3 linked regions of the Stegostoma tigrinum genome follow. The protein of the gene in region 2 interacts with the protein of the main gene of each other region in a biochemical or structural test. Links are inferred from orthologs where the notes say so. Each region holds a gene or a part of one and is shown on either strand. Other genes may lie near its edges. The genes, in order: cse1l, kpna2 and kpnb1.

Evidence for each region.
Region 1: the proteins of kpna2 (region 2) and cse1l form a complex in vitro, tested with the Homo sapiens proteins (2 studies listed by BioGRID). The link is inferred for Stegostoma tigrinum from reciprocal best matches to the Homo sapiens genes KPNA2 and CSE1L.
Region 3: the proteins of kpna2 (region 2) and kpnb1 form a complex in vitro, tested with the Homo sapiens proteins (6 studies listed by BioGRID and IntAct, with this or other methods). The link is inferred for Stegostoma tigrinum from reciprocal best matches to the Homo sapiens genes KPNA2 and KPNB1.

What each region holds. Positions count from the first base shown.
Region 1 is NC_081372.1:32,684,658-32,691,793, reverse strand, and holds the start of cse1l (exportin-2), read left to right. Parts: upstream 1-4,075; 5' UTR 4,076-4,210; intron 4,211-4,670; exon of another isoform or gene 4,671-4,801; intron 4,802-7,136. UniProt on the Homo sapiens protein: Export receptor for importin-alpha. Mediates importin-alpha re-export from the nucleus to the cytoplasm after import substrates (cargos) have been released into the nucleoplasm.
Region 2 is NC_081375.1:10,522,543-10,530,053, forward strand, and holds the start of kpna2 (importin subunit alpha-1), read left to right. Parts: upstream 1-4,506; 5' UTR 4,507-4,597; intron 4,598-4,603; exon of another isoform or gene 4,604-4,744; intron 4,745-4,983; 5' UTR 4,984-5,011; coding exon 5,012-5,083; intron 5,084-5,184; coding exon 5,185-5,322; intron 5,323-5,408; coding exon 5,409-5,491; intron 5,492-6,783; coding exon 6,784-7,052; intron 7,053-7,511.
Region 3 is NC_081384.1:5,015,194-5,022,579, reverse strand, and holds the start of kpnb1 (importin subunit beta-1), read left to right. Parts: upstream 1-4,348; 5' UTR 4,349-4,647; coding exon 4,648-4,702; intron 4,703-4,821; coding exon 4,822-4,880; intron 4,881-7,386.

The sequences.
Region 1 (7,136 bases), on a different chromosome or scaffold from region 2:
AATCTCAACCACTAATTCATACATTTAATTACTTATTTTCCATCAAATCTCTCGTAAAGACTGATATCCTGCTTTTCCAGAATAGTTGTGGCAGTAATGTCACTTGGAACTTGCAATATCCTCAGATTGTAATGTTTCAATATTACCAGAGTAGCCAACAGTGAGATAGTGCCAAAATCTTCACACTGGAAGGCCATTTCTGTACAAAATTTCATCATGTTTAATAAGGCAAGATTTCATCATGTTTACTAAGTCAAAACTGATGGGAAGGCAATGCTGAAAATGATGTCAATTTATACAAGTCTTAAACAGTTTTCCATTTGCAATTACATATTTAATGAGACATAGTAATCATTACAGAAAGATAAATAATCACATTACTGATCAATTTAACAAAATAAACGAGATAAACTAGCAGAGTGAATGCTTAAAAGATTCAGAAGGTCTGACAGCATCTGCAGAGACAGAAAAACAGAACTACCAATTTCTGAACAAGTAACCAAAATTGAAAAGTTAGCTCTCTTTCACCCCCCACAGATACTGGCAGACCTGTTGAACTTCTCTAGCATTCTCAGTGCTTGTTTTAGATTTACAGCAGCTTCAGTATTTTCTTTCTTTTCCACTGAAGCAGTTGTGGAAATGTTATGCTGCAGCAGTGCAAAGTGTTGTCACTACAATATGAATTCAACAACTGCATTTATTCTCTTAAAGACAGGTGAATGATCTCCAAAAATGTTCAGTCTAGATAACCCCAAGCTCTTTAAACTTGTTTATAAAGTGACTTGTAGGAATGCTGGAGTTTGAGGCTCAAACTGCTGAAGGCATGAACACTGATGTTTGTAAAATGCCAAATCTGAAAGACAGATCTCAGAGGCTGAAGGTTGGAAGAAAGTTACAGAGCTTAGGAAGGGTAAGACCATGAAAATATCTGACAAAGGAATTGAGAACTTTTAAAATGAGATGGGACAAGACCAGAAGCTGAATGAGACTTGGTGTGAGTTAGCCGATGTACTAAGATACTTGCCAATTTGGAAGAATGTAATATTTTAATTCAAGAATAGCAGTAAGTGCAACTCAGAAAGAAGGATGTTGACCTAAAACATCAACTTTCCTGCTCCGCTGATGCTGCCTGGGCTGCTATGTTCCTCCAGCTCCACACTGTGTTATCTCTGACTCCAGCATCTGCGGTTCTTACTATCTCAGGTATCCTTGTCTTAGGTAGTAATATTGACGGGAAAATTCCTGACAGATTTCAATCACAGAATCCCCACACTGTGGAAGCAGGCCATTCGGCCCATCAAGTCCACACCAACTCTCTGAAGAACATCCTGTCCAAACCCACCCCGCTACCCTATATTTCCTACGGCCAATCCACCTAACCTGCACATCTTTAGACTGTGGGAGTAAATCATAGCATTCAGAGGAAACCCATGCAGACTGGAGACAATGGCCAAACTCCACATAGACAGTTGCCCAAGGTTGGAATTGAACTCAGGTCTCTGGCACCATGAGGCAACAGTGCTAACCACTGAGTCACTGTGCTGCCTTCAGTCGTCATGCAGTAAGGCCTTAACAACATCAGTCTAAGTTTGTTAAGGAGCAAATGATTTTTGTGCCACACACATTAGGTAATGACCATCTTAAACAAGACAGAATCAAACTATCTCCCCTGCTATGGCTGATTTTCCATGCTGCCAACATCTTGGGTTATTTGTGGCAGCAGAACAAAGTGAATGAAATGTCTAAATACTATGGCTACTAGATCAAGAGAGAGATTTGGAATTCCAGTCTGTAACTCACCACCTCTCTACCCAATGCCAGCACTATCTTCAAGGTTAAAAGCCAAGAGCATGAAGGTCTGTTCTCAATTTGCCTGGATAGATGCAGTTTCAACAACACTCAAGTGACTCAACATCATTCAAGAATACAGTCCAAACCCTTGGCGACTCATTCATCACCTATACCATTCACAATTTTACCACCAATGTCCAGTGTACACCATCTACAAGTTGCACTGCAATTACTCTTCAAAGCTCCCTCAAAAGTGCCTTCCAAACATGAGGACTCTACTCCTTAGAAAAGGGCAACAGATTTATGGGAACTCCATCACATATAAGTTCTCCTCCAGACCGCACATCTTACTGAGATAATGGGAACTGCAGATGCTGGAGAATCCAAGATAACAAAGTGTGAAGCTGGATGAACACAGCAGGCCAAGCAGCATCTTAGGAGCACAAAAGCTGACGTTTCGGGCCTAGACCCTTCATCGGAGAGGGAGCTGGAATAAATAGGGAGAGAAGGGGAGGCGGAGCGAAGATGGAGAGAAAAGAAGATAGGTGGAGAGGAGAGTATAGGTGGGGAGGGGATAGGTCAGTCCAGGGAGGACGGACAGGGCAAGGGGGCGGGATGAGGTTAGTAGGTAGGAAATGGAGGTGCGACTTGCGGTTGGAGGAGGGGATGGGTGAGAGGAAGAACAGGTTAGGGAGGCAGAGTCAAGCTGGGCTGGTTTTGGGATGCAGTAGGGGGAGGGGACGAGCTGGGCTGGTTTTGGGATGCAGTGGGGGAAGTGGAGATTTTGAAGCTTCTGAAGTCTACATTGATACCATTGGCAGCAGGGCTCCCAAGCGGAATATGAGTTGCTGTACCTGCAACTTTTGGATGGCATCATTGTGGCACTGCAGGAGGCCCATGATGGACATGTCATCTAAGGAATGGGAGGGTGAGTTAAAATGGTTCACGACTAGGAGGTGCAGTTGTTTGTTGCGAACTGAGCGGAGGTGCAATAAACAACTGCACCTCCCAGTCACGAACCATTTTAAATCCCCCTCCCATTCCTTAGACGACATGCCCATCATGGGCCTTCTGCATGATGCCACAATGATGCCACCCAAAGGTTGCAGGAACAGCAACTCATATTCCACTTGGGAACCCTGCAGCCCAATGATATCAATGTGGACTTCACAAGCTTCAAAATCTCCCCTTCCCCCACTGCAACCCAAAACCAGCCCAGCTTGTCCCTGCCTCCCTAATCTGATCTTCCTCTCACCCATCCCTTCCTCCCACCTCAAGCCACACCTCCATTTGCTACCTACTAACCTCATCCCGCCTCCTTGACCTGTCCGTCCTCCCTGGACTGACCTATCCCCTCCCTACCTCCCCACCTATGCTCTCCTCTCCACCTATCTTCTTTTCTATCCATCTTCAGTCCGCCTCCCCCTCTCTCCCTATTTATTCCAGCTCCCTCTCCGATGAAGGGTCTAGGCCCGAAACGTCAGCTTTTGTGCTCCTGAGATGCTGCTTGGCCTGCTGTGTTCATCCAGCTTCACACTTTGTTACCTCGCACATCTTACTGACTTGGAAACAACAAGGTGTAAAGCTGGATGAACACAGCAGGCAAAGGAGCATCATAACAGCAGGAAAGCTGACGTTTCGAGGCTAGACCGTTCTTCAGAAATGGGACAGTAAAACGCTGTTCTGAAATAAATAGCGAGAGGCGGAGGCGGATAGAAGATAGATAGAGGAGAAGATAGGTGGAGAGGAGACAGACAGATCAAAGAGGTGGGGATTTCGAAACGTCAAGCTTTACTGCTCCTCTGATGTTGCTTGGCCTGTTGTGTTCATCCAGATTCACACCGTGTTATCTCAGATTCTCCAGCACCTGCAGTTCCTACGGTCCATGGAGTCAGTAAAGGCGAGTGTAGGTAGGGAGGGGATAGGTCAAGGGGGCGGGATGAGGCTTGTAGGTAGGAGATAGGGGTGGGGCTTGAGGTGGGATGAGGGGATAGGTAAGAGGAAGGACAGATTAGGGAGGCGGGGACAAGATGGGCTGGTTTTGGGATGTAGTAGGGGGAGGGGCTTGTGATGTCTATCGACGTTTCTTCAACATGGCCAGGTCAAAATCCCGGAACCGGATCTCGTTTCTCCACAACAGCGTAAAGATTGCTGTGCCTTCTTTTTCAGAGGAATGAGGAATGGACAATACCTGCAGACGTAGCCATATCCCGTACGGGACCGTAGGGCCGAGAGGCCGCCGGCACGCAGCTGTTGCGAAGGGGGCGGACAGTGCGCATGCGCAAGAGCGATGTGTTGGGGGCCGATCGTAGTGCGCATGCCTGCGTTAGGCAGCGCGCCATTTTCCTTGTGTTTGAACGAGCCCTGAACGGGGAGCAGATTTTCGGGTCTGAAATCATTTCGACTTAAGATAAAGAAGGTAAGAGAAACTGGGCCTTTTAGATCTTTGTCCGCTCCCTGCGATCTCCACGGACCGATCCTGAGTCGCCTGTCTTCTGTTTTGAAGAGCTAGGCCCATTTTTTTCAGTCTCAAAAAGGGGCTCATGATCCCGGCGGATGTTGTCGATGCAGCGACTTCCACAAAGCGACTGTCCAGAAGTCGGTACACTGCCGTTTACGAGGCGTCGAAAGTGGGCGGCCTGGCTACCAGTTCGCTTTTGTTCGAATGGATCGGGAAGGAAGGCAGTTTTCAGTCGGGCCCAACCCTCGGCCCAACGTGAACCTATACTTCAACCGAACATGCTGCTCCCTCTCCTGGTCAACCTTGATTGGTGATGGGGCGGGCAAATATCTGCAGTTTGGCTTCGTGATTGTTTGGCCCAGCTGTCAATCACTGGTCTACGTGCAACATGTTCGGTTGTGGCCGTATTTGTACCAGGCCTTGCGCTGGGTCTTGAAGCTGCGCTGCTTTCCGATGGGAAATGTTTTGTTGCCCTCGCTGCTTAGCTTAGCGCGCTACGTATATGGCTATACAAGCTGCCCTTTCAAGTTTCTTATTATGAAGCACGCGGTGGGTCAAAAATGTATATTACAAAATCTAGTATTCTGTTTGCTAAGTGTAAGCGATTTCAGACAGCCCAATCGAGAGTGCCAGCCAATCAATATTTTTAGAAATAAGATAAGCTGTTCTGAAGTTGAAGCTGATCAGTAGATTTGACACTAGTCCATACTGAAGTCGAGTTTAATTCTTGTTGAGGCCTTCACGAAACTTTATCCTCCCTGCCCGAGCGACGTTCTCTCTGATGCACTTCGATCTGAGAAAGATAGAGCCTGTTGGTGTTTTTTTGTTTTATTCTGCATCTGTGCTCTCGTTCATAAACGACAGAGTAAGTGTAAACTTGTTATACGGGGCTTGCACTTCGTTTCCACTTGCAGTACTGAAGCGTCTTGGCTGTTGTGAGGTTCAGTTGCATTTGACGCATCTGTGTAGTTCGTGCTATTATAAATAAAGGAAACTATATTTTTCTATGGTTCTTTTCGCGGTCACTAGATGTTTCAGGCATTTATAATCAATGAGTACATTGAAATGTAATCACTGTCGTAATGTACGACATCTCGATTGTCCAGAGTCAACGCTGTATCAGACAATGAGCAAATAATCTTGTATTGTTGATTGAAAGATAAATGTGGATCAAGACCTTCAGGATAACTCCCCAACTCATGATTCCTTCATAGGCTGTTATGTATGAGCATCCAGAGGCACATCATTGATATTATTGTGTTAATTGTGGGATTTGGCAAAGCAAAACAGATGTCAGATTTTCTTAATTTTTGTCAAAATCTTATCAGTAGTATAGTGGTGAATTCAATGGCCTTTGGCAGTGTTTCTGAAATATTCCCCTCTTACTTTTTGAAGGCTAATACATCAGCAACACCTATGTCTTGTAATACGATGTAGTGAGATGCACGTGTGCTAACATTCATTAGTCTGTTTGACTTGTGTAACTTAATCTTGTCATTGGTGTTCAAGCTGAAGGTGTGTGGTGCTGCTTCTGTGTGCTATTTAATGATGCAGAAATAGTCATATAGTGGCATTGGGGCAAGGGTAGATGTTGACAGTGGTTGAGTGGGCTGCCAGGAGCAGAATACAGTACTACAGGTAAGAGGTAGTTGAGGAAAATAAGAGACGAGATGTGTCCTAGGAGCCATTAAGTTGAAGTGTTGAACTGCCTGAAATATGGGATGGTCCTGTAAATTCTGAGATAGTTGATCACCTTGTGTGATGCATACCTGTCAGCAAAGAAACAGAACTGAGACGCTGCATAACAATGTTACTTTGAGTTTATGTAATGCATAGTTGTCACAGTCCCTGCTATTTTAATATATTTCTGTTGGAAGCCCTATTTAATGTAGTCTCAAATTTATCTTTGTGTCAGTTTGTAAACAATCTTTCTGTTTACTTGGTTATGTCTTACTGAATTTATACATTATTTAAACTTAGTAAAAGAGCTCAATTAATATACATAATCTTATATTTTATCTACTGATGAAGTTACCTTGACTGTTATTTCTATTCCTTTTCATCAGCTTGTCTTTGTTGTTAAAAGATAGTAATTTAGAATATTTCCATAATAAACCTGCAGCAAGTCTGTTAGTACCCAAATAATGATGTTAGTATTTTGTCTGAGATTTGCTGCCGATTTTTGGTGCTGTTACTTATTGCATGTTAATTGTATTTCCATAACCCCTCTCAGTAAGCTTGTGAGCTGATCGTGCATTTTCACCACAAAGTTTGAAGTTTCCTTTATGAGCATTCTTATGTCATGGTTTGCTTCTAAGGCAGCCTTACAAGTTATGAACTGTTGTGGAAAATTCAGGTATTGGTTTTTATTGACCCACAAAATATTACGTTTCATGGTTCAATTGCCACATCAACAATAAACTGAATCTTCAGATGGTGGCATATGGCAGAATTGAGGCCAGTCATAAGGATTACAGGAAAATGCTGAAGAAAAGCAAATTGAGAATTTAGAAGAACTGCAATAAAGACAGAAGTTGCTCGAAAAGTTCTTGTTCAGTGGGCCAACGGACCCAAAATGTTAACTCTGACTTCTGTTCACAGATGCTGCCAGACCACCTGAGCTTTTCCAGCAACTTGTGCTTTTGTTTCTGATTTTACAGCATGCACAATTCTTTTGGTTTTTATTCAGAAGAGGTGATTGGATATATGAGAGAACATGCAGTAAATAGGGCATCTAAACGCATACAAAAGGAAAGAGTTAACAGATGTCCAATGGTGAAGTAGTGCTTTAATTATGAAGGATGGAAGTGTTTTTCTTTAATCTTTATCTGTAGCATACCTGAGGACTTGACATAACTGTCTAAAATCTTTTGGTTTTGAAAAA
Region 2 (7,511 bases):
TGCAAGTAAAGGGATGACTAGTAAATGGGAGACTTTCAGAAGTGAGATTATGAGAGTTCAGAGGCATTATGTTCTTGTTAGATTGAAGGGTAAGGCTGGTAACAATGGATGAATAAAGATATCAAGGCTTTGGTCAAGAATAAGAGGAAATCATATATTGGGTATAGACAACTGGGATCTAGAATCTCTTGAAGAATATAAGGGGTGTTGGGGCATTCTTGAGAGAGAAATCTGGAGGGCAAAAAGAGAGATGAGATAACATGAGATAACTTTGGCAGATAAGATTAAGGTTAATCCAAAGAGATTCTACAAGTACATTAAGAGCAAAAGAGCAGCTACTGAGAGAATAGGGTCCCTTAAAAATCATTGAGGTCATCTATGTGTTGAACCACAGGAGATGGGAGAGATAATAAATGTGTCAGTTTTTACTGTGGAGAAAGACATGGAGGCTTGGGAAATAAATTTTGATGTCTTGAAAACAATCCATATTGTGGAAGAGGAGGTGCTGGGGGTCTTAAAAAAAACACAAAGATGGATAAATCTCCAGGCCTGATGAAGTATATCTCAGGACATTTTGGGAAGTTAGGGAAGAAATTACAGGGCCCCTAGTATAGATATTTATATCATCTGCAGCCAAGGATAAGATGCCAGAGGACGAGATGGTGGCTAATGTTGTGCCTTTATTTCAGAAAGGCTGTAAGGAGAAGCCTGGGAACTATAGATTGGTAAGTCAGATATCAGTGGTGGGCAAGTTTTTGGAGGGGATTCTGAGAGATAGGATTTACATGCATTTGGACTAGGATAGATCGTTCTGTTCAAGATCTGAGATCATAGATTCCCTACAGTGTAGAAGCAGGCCATTCAGTCCATAAAGTCCACACTAATCCTCTGAAGAGCATCCCACCTAGACCGAGCCCGTACCCTATCACGAAATTTCCTTCCCCAGACATCATGGGCTATTTAGCATTGCCAATCCACCTAACCTGCACATCTTTGGACTGTGGGAGGAAACCCACACAAACACAGGGAAAATGTGCAAACCCCGCATGGACAGTCACCCAAGGCTGGAATTGAACCCAGGTCCCTGGTACTGTGAGGCCACCATGCTGATAGTTCCGTTCAAGATTAGGAATGGTTCTGATCAAAACTATTCAAGATGGCAGCAGTGGATAAGCACTGTCTGGGATTTTGTGCCCAGATCTCATCCATTCTGCCAGCTTTCCTTTTTCTGTTTTTATCTTCTTTTCTCTTTTTTTAAGTAGTTTCTTAATTACCTTTTGGATGCTGTGGAGGCAGCGGCAGCAAAAGAACATGCCAGTGGCTGGGCCCCAATGTGACAGTGAGACAACAATTGGCAGCTAGCGGCAAAGGATGGTGGCAGCAGTGATGTGGTGGTTGCGGCCAAAGCCTTGTGAGTGCTGATGAAGCCTGATGTGCCTGGGCAGGTCTTGGCCCAGCACAGCGTAAGCATTCCCAGCGCTAGGGAGAGTGATGTGTCTTGGGGAAAGCCCAGCTTTAAGCATCTGTAGGCCCATAGCTTAAGACTGTAATGCTTGACATTTTAACTTTATTTTTCTATTTTTCAACATTTATGCTAAGTGCACTGTAGTGCTGAACTTTTTAAACTTATTACTTTATATTTCTATTTCTGTAACTAAAATTTTGTACCTAAGTACTTTGTACATAAGATGGCACCATATGTGGTGACGTTGTACACTTTTCACTGTGCTCTTGTGCCATGTACTTGAGTACACATGACAATAAAACCTAAATCTAGATCTAAAATCAATTGTTTGTCATTTATATAAACTATTTGGATGAGAATTTAGGAGGCATATTTAGTAAGTTTGTGGATGACACCAAAGTTGGTAGTGAAGAAGATTATCTAAGAATACAAAGGTTCTTGATCAATTGGGCCAATGGCTTGAGCAGTGGCAGATGGAGTAAAATTTGAATAAATATTATTGCATTTTGATAAAACAAACACAGGCAGCACTTATACACAGGCAGCACTTATACAGTTAATGATATGGCCCGGAGTAGTGTTTTCGAACAGAGAGACTTAGGGATCTAAGGATTAAAGTTCTTTGAAATTTGCATCACATGTAGAAATGATGGTTAAAAAGGTGTTTAGAATGCTTGCATTCATTGTTCAGACCACTGAGTATATCATGCTGAGGTTGTACAGGGTTTTGGTGATTTGATTTGATTTATTATTGTCACATGTACCTTGGTGCAGTGAAAAGTTTTGTTTTGTGTGTAGTACAGGCAGATCATATCATACAAAGTGTATAAGGGTAATAGAACAGAACAAGGAATACAATGTTATGCTCAGAGAAGATACACAAAGAACACGATTAACATTAAATTTAAAATTTGAGAGATCCATTCAGAAATTTAACAACAGTGGCGAAGAAGACATAGTAAGAACTGCTGATGCTTGAGTCTGAGATAACATAGTATGGAGCTGGAAAAACCTGAAGATTTCTGAAGAAAGCTCCTGACCCGAAATGTTAGCTTTCCTACTCCTCTGATGCTGCTTTGCCTGCTGTGTTCTTCCAGCTTCACACTATGTTAATAGTGGGGAAGAAGCTGTTCTTGAATCTGTTGGTTCATATGTTTAAGCTTTTGTACCTTCTGCCTGATAGAAGAGGTTGGAAAAGAGTATAACTGGGGTGGGCTTTGATTATGTTGGCTGCCCTCCCGAAACAGTGTGAAGTATAGATAGAGTCAATGGATGGAAGGTTGGCTTGCACGATGTTCTGAGCTGTGTCACAACTCTCTGTAGTTTCTTCTAGTTCTGGGCAGAGCAGTTGCCATACCAAGCCATGATGCATCCAGATAGAATGCTTTCTATGTTTCATCTTTAAAAATTGGCAAGAGCCTTTATAGACATGCCAAGTTTCCATAGCATCCTGAGGAAGAAGAGGCATTGTTGTGCTTTCTTGACTGTTGTATCAACATGGATTGTTGGTGATTGCCACGCCTCGGAACTTCACTCTTGGCTATCCCTAACTCAGCACGATTAATGTAGATAGGGGAGTGTCCTCCACCTTGTTTCCTGAAATCAATGACCAGCTCTTTCATTTTTCTAATGTGAAGGGAAAGATTGTTATCTTCACACCATGCTACCAAGCACTGTGTCTCTTTCCTGTATTCTGTCTTGTCATTGTTTGAGATCCAACCTATAGTGGTGGTGTTGTCAGCAAACTTGTTGATGGAGTTAGGATGAAATTTGGCCACGCAGTCACAAGTGTACAGGAATTATATTAAGATGCTAAGGCATGTTTTTGGAGGACTGTCTACAGTACTGGACTTCCTTCTATAGGAAGAATATTGTTAAATTGGAGATGGTTGAGAAAAGATTTGCCAGGATAGATGAGGTGAATAGCAAAGGTCTTTTCCCTGGGGTGGTGGAGTTCAAAACTGGGAGGAAATTTTAAGGTGAGAGGAGAAAGATTTAAAAGGAACCTGAGAGGCAACTTTTTCATACAGAGGGCGTTTTGTATGTGGAATGAACTACCAGAGGAAGTGGTTGTTGCAGGTATAGTTACAACATTTAAAAGACATTTGGACAGGTACGTGAATAGGAAAGGGTTAGAGGGACATGGGCCAAATGCAGGCAAGTAGGACTAGCTTAGTTTGGGAAATGCGGTATGCGTGGGTGAGTTGGACTGAAAGGTCTGTTTCTGTGCTGTTTGACTCTATGACTCAATAACTGTTATGGACTGTCCTACACTGGTGTGTAGCAGTATGACAATGAGCTACACTTGAGGCCATTGTTCCTTGCACTGAATGAGAAAAACAGGGTATTGTTAGTGATATATTTCCACATCTCTCATATGTATGGCAACAAGTGCCACAGCCCCACCTCATGCCCCCAGAGTTATTACACGTTGACCCTGTGCCAAACTATTCTTTAAATGTTTTGCCAGGAACTGGTCTCTCAGGAAGTTTTGGTGGGGTTGTGGTTAATAGTAGGACCAAGATATGAAAATCAACTTCAAGGAGAATCACTCAGTGTGAGGTTGCCACTGGTAGTGGGGGAATGGGGAAGGACCAAGCACAGACTCCTTTGCCGTAAAAGTTCGAAGGCACAGGACATAAAACTATGTTATCCTGTATGAATTACTGAGCGGTCAACCACACATAACTTGAGAGGTTTTCCGAAGACGTTGCAAAAGAGACAAAGACGTGACTTTAGTGAGTGTTTCCAGCAATTTTTATTCCTAAATCAGCAGTATTTTTAATACCACGTGGAAGAACAAAAGAGTAAAGAGGAAGTAATGTTTCGAGCTCCTTTAACGCGCAAAACAACAAAAGACCGCGCCAGAGACGGCGCTATGCACGGAGTAGTATTTTTAATATCCTTTACTTGATTGGCTGCGCGGTTGGTATGGGAATCCATCCAACCGCATCCTCAGCTTCTTTCAAATCAGCCAATTGAAATATTGCTTTGAATCGAATGAACCAATGGGAGCCGGGCAACTCAGCCGGTTTAAATAGCTGGAGCGGCTTCCAAGCTTGCATTTCTGTTGGTAATAGTGTTTTACTAGCGGAAGGTTATAAGTTGTAAACGGCTTGCTTTAATATTGCAGTTAAGTGCACTTTGTAAATCTTGTGATTAGTTCAACTGCTGTTCTCGTTTAATAGCGATAAGTTTTTTTTCCTTTTCACGACTAATTAAATTCCAGTAACCTTAACGGAAAATCTCCCCTTTAAATCTTTGTCTCAGCTTCCGCAAGTATGTAAGACTTGTTCATCTTTCGCTGTAAATGACTTTTGTCTAAACAGGCAATTAATCTAAATGCTGAAACGTAATTGTTGCTAACTTTTTAATCTGGATGCAGTGTAATTTTTTTAAAAAGAACAAAATTGTTAATTTTTCTACGTTGTAGCATCTTTCCAAAGTGTCTAAAAATCTTCCCCGCCTGTCGAAGCACGCTTTCTGTGACTAACTCTTGTCTACTTTGTTTCGTACAGTTTTTGCCAAGTTAATTCAAGTTGAAATATGTCAACCACGGCCAACGAGAACGCCTTCAGCCGCCTGATCAAGTTTAAGAACAAGGGGAAAGATGCTAATGTAAGATGGTATTATTTTAAGCTTTTTCGTAACTTTTATCATCGCCATCAATACATGGCCTAATTTTGGTTCCATTTTCCCTCTCCACTCCTTTTTAAAAGGAGTTGAGACGCAGGAGAATTGAAACCAATGTTGAGCTGCGGAAAGCTAAAAAAGACGACCAGCTGTTTAAAAGGAGGAACGTGAACAATTTTCCTGATGAGAATGTATCTCCACTTCAAGAAAAGAACAATATCCAGGTACTGTATTCTCGAAGGAATCCTGTTTTAAAATTCATGACTTGCTTTTTGGCTACTAAAAACTTTGCTGTTTTCATGAAAATCAGGTGCCTTTGAATTTGGATGAAATAATCCAAGGTATCCAGAGTAATAATTTGGAAACTCAACTCCAAGCAACTCAGGCTGCCAGGTAAGAATGGGTGTCTCCCATTGTAGTTAGAAATTTTAAATGTAAAATACCTTGAGTCTTTTGAAAGTAATGCAGAGAATTCAAGCACCAGTTATGGGACACTGGGATATGTTTAAAGGAACCAGTCCATGTCTGTCTGCAATCGCGATACTGGGAGTAAAAATACTTGTATCTTGTCACTTCAGGACTATATTTGAGTGGGTTTTTTGTGTAATAGTGCTATACTAATTTTTTTCAAACTGGCTGTTGGAGTTTTAAAAAATGGATTTGCCAATTTTGGAGGGAATGATATTTCACTAGTGATTTTGGAGTCTATTTTTGGTTCACGTGGCCAGTGTTCGGTCAAAATGAGGCTGTCTAGCACTACCTCCTTCATGTAATAACTGAGCCCTGATCTGATTCCTGCATATGTTTGGGTTTCACTAAAACTTGAGGCTTCGTTTTGCCCATTTCTATCTTTTGTAACACTGACTCTAGTTCCAGACTCCAACTTTGCACCCTATCTTATGCCTTGTTTATATACTGCTCAGGTTGCACCTCAGCCTGTGCTCTTGTGAAAAATCTTTTGTCTAATCCCTTGCTAAAGCTAATGTATTCCGATCCAGCCAGCATCAGGTAAAAGTGATAATGGGAACTGCAGATGCTGGAGAATCGTCAGCTTTTGTGCTCCTGAGGTGCTGCTTGGCCTGATGTGTTCATCCAGCTTCACACTTTATTATCTTGGGAACTGCAAATGCTGGAGAATCCATTATCACTGATACAATTTTAACCTCACTGCAAAGCCTCTTCCAGGGATGCCTAACCTGAAGTAGTTACCCTCCTCCCTCTGGAGGATGAAGGGTCTAGGCCTGAAACGTCAGCTTTTGTGCTCCTGAGATGCTGCTTGGCCTGCTATGTTCATCCAGCTCCACACTTTATTATCTAGTATCAGGTAAAATCTTTTTTGCACCTTCAAAACTTCCACATCTTTCCTATAGAGTATCAGAACTGCACAAATACCATTTTAGGTCATGCAAGATGCTCTCCAACCTACAATTGACAAAATTGACTTTTCACCAGCTAATTGGTAAGGTAGTCCAATTGTATAAAGTTCTTTATCTTAAACAATTGTTAATAATGAGGGATAATACCTAGGATTTTTTGGACCAAAATTTTAAGAACTGATTTTAGTCTTTTCTGTGCTCTTTCTGGCCAGAGGGTTGATTTCACAACCATTCTGTTGGTGTTTACATTGTATTACAAGTCAGACAATAGTTGTCAGTACACTTTTTTAAGCTGCTTTTTCTTTTCAGGAAGCTGCTTTCTAGGGAGAAACATCCTCCCATTGACAAAATTATTCAAGCTGGGCTCATCCCCAGATTTGTGGGATTTCTTGCTACTTTTAATTGTAGCCCCATCCAGTTTGAAGCTGCATGGGCCCTCACCAACATAGCGTCTGGAACATCTGATCAGACTAAGGCTGTTGTTGATGGTGGTGCAATACCAGCATTCATCAATCTGTTGGCATCTCCACATCCACATATCAGTGAACAAGCAGTATGGGCTTTAGGAAACATTGCAGGTAACTAACTACTTTTTAAATATAGAAATGTTCGTTCTTTGCAAAATGGAGCATGTAAATTGGCTGACTGTTGCCCTAGTAGAACAGCTAGTAGAAATTAACGTTTTTTAAAAAAAAACTAATTAATGTAATGTGGAAATCACTGGCTATATGGCACTTTATTCTTTCCTCCTGCCTTTCCCCTAACACCCTTGGACATGGCAGTGTACAGCCTTCAATGACTGAAGTCTCTAATCACCTAGTGTTAGAAAGATAGTTTTTCAGGGTTTTGATTCAACAATCGAGCTTAAACTCTGGGTAGTATGCCTTGAAGAACTCTTAAGGGTTATGGAGAAGGGCAAAACTGCTCAGCAGGTTCAAATTCTAAATTGGGGTAAGCCTTAATTCTATGAAAATTTGAGGAGCTTTCATGGATTGACTTTTGAGTAGTTTGCAGACAAAGGGACTCCTGGCAAGTGG
Region 3 (7,386 bases), on a different chromosome or scaffold from region 2:
AAGAAGACTATATATTTTAGAAATTAATAACTAGGGCAAAGATTTACCTTAGGGGAGAAGTTATCATAAGAATATTTTAAAAAAAAGGAAAAGTAAGCCATTCAGACCCTCAAGCCTGCTCCACTATATATCATGATCGTGGCTTCTTCCCCCACCCAAAGAGTGATAATTCTGCCTAGAAAGGTGGGAGAGGAGAAATTCTCATTGCATTTAAAAAGTATTTGAATATTCACTTGAAGTACTGTACCTATCAGGCTACCAACCAAAATCTAGAAAATTAGTTGACCGCTTTCTTCTGGCTGCCAAACATGATGAGCTAACTGGCCTTCCTCTGTGTGGTAAATGTTTGAAATTCGTCCTCCTTAACTCAACATTGAAACACTCTTATGGAGCCCTTATTGGCCTAGCATACCAGGTTTTAAGATAGCCTGTCTAAAAAAGGCAATTGTATTATGGGAAGTAAGATCTACAAGAATGAAAAGCACTTGCACCTATATAAATGATTTCATAAATTGGAATTAAAGAGTTAAGGATACAGAAACTATGAGTACCAGACAATCGGAGAGTATTTCATCATTTACAGAAAACAAGTCAGGTATGTGATGTACGGAACAGGTGAGTCAATTGCTGCAAAATACACCACCTATGACTTGTGTTTGTAGCCAGTATTTGTGTTACTGGTCCAGGTTTATTATTTCTTTTGCACAGTTATCATTTCATTGCTTCTGTTTTGGTACTAGATTATAACATGATCAGCCCTCACTTGATCATATTCTTCTAACACCATCTTCTTCTGCATACCATTTTTAAAAATATCTTAATACATTTTAACATCTTTGCTTCTGCGCTGTCAGGATTGAGATGAGTAGAACATCTTGATCAAGTAGAAGGCGAGGGTGAATATTTTGAAATCTCTACCCAGGTGCTGTAGAGGCCCAATTTTGAGCAGCAACATACTGCAGATGTTAAAAATCTGAAACAACAAGAAAAGCTGCTGAAAATATTCAACAGCTCTGGCAACACATGCAGAGCAGAAACAATTAATATTTCAGGTCAGCTGAAAGGTCACAGATTAGACACATTAATTCTGATCCCCTCTATAGATGCTGCTAGATCTTTTCCAATATTTTCTGCTTTTATCCCGTATCCTAATGTTGATTGTAATCTAAACAGAGGAGGCGAAGGCAATAAAGCCAGCAGTCAGATAAGATGTGAACTGTTCTATGTGGCACACACTTATACCACAAGTTTTTGCACTGTATCAACAATAAAGACCAGCTACCCATACCTCCACCATGCATCAGCTTATCTGCTGTTAAAACTCATTTCATTCTCTTCTGAATTAACTGGTTCAGCACACTCTACACTGGCCTCCCTCCATAACTGTGGGCTCATTCAAAACTACTCCCTGCTTGTTGGGCAGCCAGTGCAGACACGATCGGCCAAAAGACCTCCATCTGTGCCATAAATATTCAACAATCACAACCTGCAGCAAGTCATACTCGCCCACTGCAGTCATGCACTTAAATTGGCTTCTAATCCAAGAATGCCCCAATTTTCAAATTCACACCATTATATTAAGTTCCCTCCAGGATCCTGTTCCTCGTGCTGTTTGACATTGGCTTTTTCTACAAACCCAATCCACGTGGCCCAGTATTATCGTCAATGCAAACAAAAATCAAGTGAACTACAGATGCTGAAAATCTGAAATAAAAATGAAAAACTTTGGGGAACTTCAGAAGGTCTGGCAGCATCTGTAGAGGATGAAAGAAGAGATAATGTTTTGGATCCACTGAAGCTTCTTTAGCATGCAAGAGTCACCAGACCTGAAAAATGTACTCTGCTTTCTTTCCGTAAAGCTGTCAGACCTGCTTAGTTTCTCCAGAAATTTCTGTTTTTGTTATTGTCAAATGTGCATTCAGTTGAGCAGATCTTAAACTATAGAATTCCTTTTCTGCTGACCAGTGTTTTAAAATCTACCACACAGACCAAGATTTTGATCACCTGTCTGGCACTGCCTTTGAATCAGCATTAAATGTGTCTGATGATGCTCCTTTGAAGCACCATGGGCTGTTCTACCAACAATAAGTGTTGTTAAAATATCAAAATGAAAACTGAAAGAACTGCAGATGCTGTAAATCAAAACAGTTCTGACGAAGGGTCACTCAACCCAAAACTTTAACTCCGATTTTTTTTTGCCACAGATGCTGCCAGACCTGCTGAGCTTTTCCAGCAATTTCTGCTTTTGTTGTTAAAAATGTCAATGGATGGTACTGCAATGAATCATTTTTTAAAGTTTCTCAGGTCCAACATGGCATCAACAAATGTAATCATCTCCGAAGCACTCTGGAAAAATATCCATTTGAGCATATAAGAAGCTAATTGTTTAAAGGGATCCCATTGCCTCCTTCCATTATGTTCATAATCACAGTCTTTCTGCACCTGGAGCCAAATGTCATCAATTCACTGTCTTTGAAATGGTGTACCACAACGCAACAAATATAGGAAGTAGTGAATGAGCACAATGGGAGAAAAAAAACTCAATAATTTATATGGTGCTTCATTCTTCCAATCTGGGTAAGGGGAAAATCAGCTGGATTTTTTGTGATTCAAATCTCATTGGGTTGATTTTAAAATCCTCCCAAGCAGGGTTGACTCACTATGCAATGCCAATTCTTTAAACACAGTTCTCCAACTAAATTAATTCCTTGCATATTTTCTTCATTTAAGTATGCATTGAATTCGTATTTAAGTTATTATTAGATCTGCTTCCACCATCTTTGCATTGAACGATGGATGGATCTTTATAAGTGTTGGCAGCGTGCAGTTACAGTTCTGCTATTTGTAGGAGAGCATTAAACACAAATTCGCAGCACAAAAGACTGTTATACAGCACGAATCAGTCATACCTAGAATAGTTTGAACAGTTTCGACCCCCTTACATGAGGAAAGATCCTTAAGTAAAATCTGCCTCGAAATGTTCCAGTCAAGGAATCAAGGTGACTATCACACGAGTCCACCCCCAATATCCTTCTCCTTCTATTGCATTAAATACACCTTATGAAGCAGCTCGGAGGATGCAAAGAGGAGAGAAATGTTTGCAGTGATTCGTGGTTTCAGAAAGCAGCATTACAATGCTGAGTAGAGTTGGTTTTTTTGGGATAGATAGTGGAGATGGTCAATACAAACGGCAGCGCTCTCTTCCCTGGAAACGGCGGGAAATACAAACCAGAACCGCCTCACTCATCAGCAACAGCCGCATCTCCATTCGCCACCGTAAAGTAGTGCCCTCAACTTTTAACCTCGTCAACCGCACCCCCTTTGAATTTAGGCGCCGAAGGCAACCCATACGCACACAAAAATAAAGACTTTCTCCGGACGCCGGTTGCTCCTTTCGTGCAGAAGCTTTTCCACTGAAAATGAGGTTTCTCTCCCGCCGATGCGATCGGTCTGATTGGCGGAGGAGACGCTCCGATGCCCCCTCCCCCCGGAATTTAGAGTAAAACTGGACCAAGTGTCCCAGGATGGAGGCAGGCCCTGGGCGGAGTCAAGTGGGAAAAGTACAGACATAACCCTCCCCCGAAAACGGTCTCAAGGACGGGAGGGAGGGGTCATCGGCTCCAATTCGAAATTCGGCCTTCAACAGAGGCTACAGCCGCTCAGCCAATCAGAGGACGCCTTGAATAGCATCAGGCAGCGGCCGTTGAAGAGCTATAGCATCTCTGCTTAACCAATCAAGAGTCTCTTTAGATAAGCAGTAGGATGGGAATGATAGGCCAGTGGAAGGTCGCGTAAAATAACACACGGCGGCCGTTCAAAGGATGTGATGCACTCAGCGCTATCCTCCAATCAGAAGTGGCATTCGATTGCTTTTACCGGCACTTGCGTCATGGACCAATAAGAGATTGTGTTAGATAGGATGACTGATGGCCGGTGTGTAAAGACATTACCAATCGGGGATTGTGTTCGATATCCAAGCACGATTGGCCAATGAGAAACCGCGTTAGATAGTGCTAGGCGGCCAGTGGGAAAGCGGAACAAGCGCGCGCGTGTACTGCGTCTGGCGACACCCACCAATCCGATTAGGCGTTGGCTCGCCTGGGCGGTCACGGGCCAATGGGAGCTCCTGTTAGACAGGCCGGGCAGCTGTTGAAGGCGTGGGTGAAGCAGTGATAATGGCGGGGTTCGGCCACTTGGCAATGGCTCGCGGCGATTGACGTACAGACGGACCAATCAGATGGAAGCGGCGGTACGTGCGCCGTGAATGATTCGGCCAATGGGGAGGCGCGTCACGGGGAGCGGCAGTTTGCGAAGGGAGCAGCGCGCGCGGCCGCTGCTATATCGCTCCGCCGCCGGTGGCACTCGGCTTTTGCGCAGCTGCGGAGCCGGGCGAAGGCGTGAGAGAAGCTTGCGCTCTGGTTATTAGCGAGTGAGAAAGAGAAAACAGTCACTAATATACAGCATATCTGTTGTTATCCATAATAAATTCCACGCTGCCACCCCTTGTTTATCTATCTATCGCTCTTTTTAATCTTCCCTCACCGCGGTGTATATGTACGTTATATTTTCTAAAAGGAAGCAGAATCTGAGTGACCCAGAACCATTTATGGCCGTTTCTGCCTGAGAAAAATCCTCGTTGTTTCCCACATGAGATTCGTTAACATGGAGCTTATCACAATTTTAGAGAAAACCGTCTCTCCAGGTAAGGCGTCTAATGGGAGAGGGAGTAATATTATTTTTCTCTTTCGTGGTATTTTAAAACTGTATTATTATTTTTTTTCCCGCCCGCCCTTTTCTTTCTTTTCTCTCCCTCCTCCCCAGATCGTAATGAGCTGGAAGCAGCGCAGAAGTTTCTGGAACAGGCGGCTGTTGAGAATTTGGTCAGTATTGGATTCTGTTTCCATTTTTTTTGAATGGGTAAAGGGGGCGATGGTTTGATCTAATTCGGCTTTTTAAAAAAAAATGTGCGTGGGCTGATGCGAGAGTATGGTTGGCTATTTGATTTTTAAGATGGAAAATTTTTTATCCATTTTAATGGAGGGAAATCAAGGGCATTCATTGAGAAAATTCCCCCTTTCTACTCTTCTTCTCCCCCACCCCCCCCCCAACCTTTTGGGCGGGGGAGGGGGAAACTGGAGTGAAAAAAAATGACAGCCTAACTTGCTGGCAGGAATTACCCCGGTTGATTGACAAGGCATGACAGCCAATGAGAGTCCGGAGATTGCCGGTGGGCATGCCCGCTAGCCAATGAGGACGCCCCGAAGAGGCTGGGTTTCCGCTCTGCGCAAGTTTGGTTGATGGGAAGGGAAGCTGGGAGTCGAGGCCTGAGCGCATGTTGCCGGCTCATCCTCTCCTCCCTATGTGTGAGAGAGAACAGCCTACCCCACGCATGGAGGGGCTGGGGAGGCCTGGATCCATTATGCTATCTGATAAATTTATGCCCTTTATACCCCTGCGTTTAAATCGTCGTAAGCATTATTTCTTTTTCAATAATAGCCTGAAGATTTGCACAATTTAGGTTTTGATATCATGTGTCTGGCTTTCTTCTGGGTTGCTATCGTGTAATCTTTTCATTTGGTTAACACCAGTTGAAAGTTTCTATTTAACCGGTGTTTGTGGAAGTTAATCAATTTGTAACGCATTAAGACGTGCTGGGACGCCGTTTAGCCCTCTAGGTTTGAACCAAATGAAAACAGCCTCGCTCATATCCCAGTTTCGGTCTACGTAGATCACTATTTAGGGTGTAAATCTGAGTTTTTTGATGCATTCAGGGTATCAGTTGCTTATAACGTAGTAGATGGTGTTTGAGGTCCTGCTTAGCTCCTTGATGGAAGAACAATTCTTGTCAACCTTTCTCTAATTCTTTTGACAGTTGCTTCAAATCTATCCTAATAGAACTACCTTCCTTTCTACTGTCAAAGTATTTCAATAGACTGTAATTTAAGTCTTCCCTCAACCTTTTAGAAACATGGATAATAAGAGCAAGTACAGGCCCTTTGAGCCTGCTTCACCATTCAGTATGATTGTGGCTGATTGTTCAGTTTGGTACCGTGTCTGCTTTCTGCATGCTTTTGATCCCTTTAGCTCTAAGAGCTATATCTAACTACTCGAACATTTAATATTTTGGCCTCAACTACTTTCTGTGGCAGAGTTCACTGCATTCTGGTTGAAGAAATGTAGAACCTAAAATATAGGTGTAGAATTCAGCCATTGGCTCATTGAGTCTGCTCTGCCATTTTATCATAGCTAATAGGCTTCTCAACATCATTCTTCTCTGTGTAACTCTGACCACCTTACTAATCAAGCATCTGTCTGTCTTAAGTATACTCAATGACTTGGCTTCCACAACCTTCTGTGGTAGTGTGTTCCATGAGATTAAACATCCTCTGGCTGAAATTTCTTATCTCTGTTCTGAGTGGGGAGTTCCATATCCTTGAGCTGTGACCATTGGTTCAAGACTCACGGTTATTAAGAACATCCTGCATTTATCTTGTCTAGTCACTGTTAAAATTTTATAGGTTAACTAGGGTTGCACCATTGTTAAATTTGATAGATGTATCTTAATATATTTTAAATCCAAATGCAAGTTATTTTAGCAGGTCACCACGTGCATTTTGAGCTTGTTTCTTTAGAGATTTTCTGTTGCATCCTATTTAAGGTTATTGGTGCTTTTTTGGTTACTGTGGATTTGCACATTTGACAATGATTTCTCATCTTTTGCTTTAAACAAGGTTACTTAATGTGTGTAAATCAGGTAATTTTGGAAACTTAAAATTGCTTTGAAGTCAGTAGAAATAGCAGTAAATTGCATTTTAATCTCTAATTATTTTAATTGCAAATTTCAAGCCATTTCTTTGGAAGTACATTTGACTTTGTATGTAGTGTTTTACCACTTATTAATTTGGCTAATTGTATGGCCTTAAATTGTAGATTGCAGAATTTCTGAAAACTGTCAGCTTTTGGAAAAATTAGCTATATTTTCATAGCCTTTTCCTGCACGTTTAGTAAAACCTAACAACTAAAAAAAATACAGGCTTGACTTAAGCTTAGGTATGATATGGAGGGGCTTCCTATCAGATCCTGGCTTTAGAGATTTACCTGCTGTCAGACACTGTATCCTGTATCAAATCAGATCTAAAACTGAGCTGGTTAATTCAATCAGCTGGACCATGTAATACAGCTTAAGGAATTTTGTAGCCACTGGAAACTGTTTAGGAATCAATAGCAAGAAGAAAGGTGAGTAAAAGTTTTGAAAAGTGCATGTGATATTAGAAGAAGATGGGACATAAAAACGAAATCCTGCTTGAATAAGTGCTAGAAAAAGACAAGTATTGTACACCACTTTGGAATAGTGGTAGACAACAAAGTAAATATGAGCTGATGCAA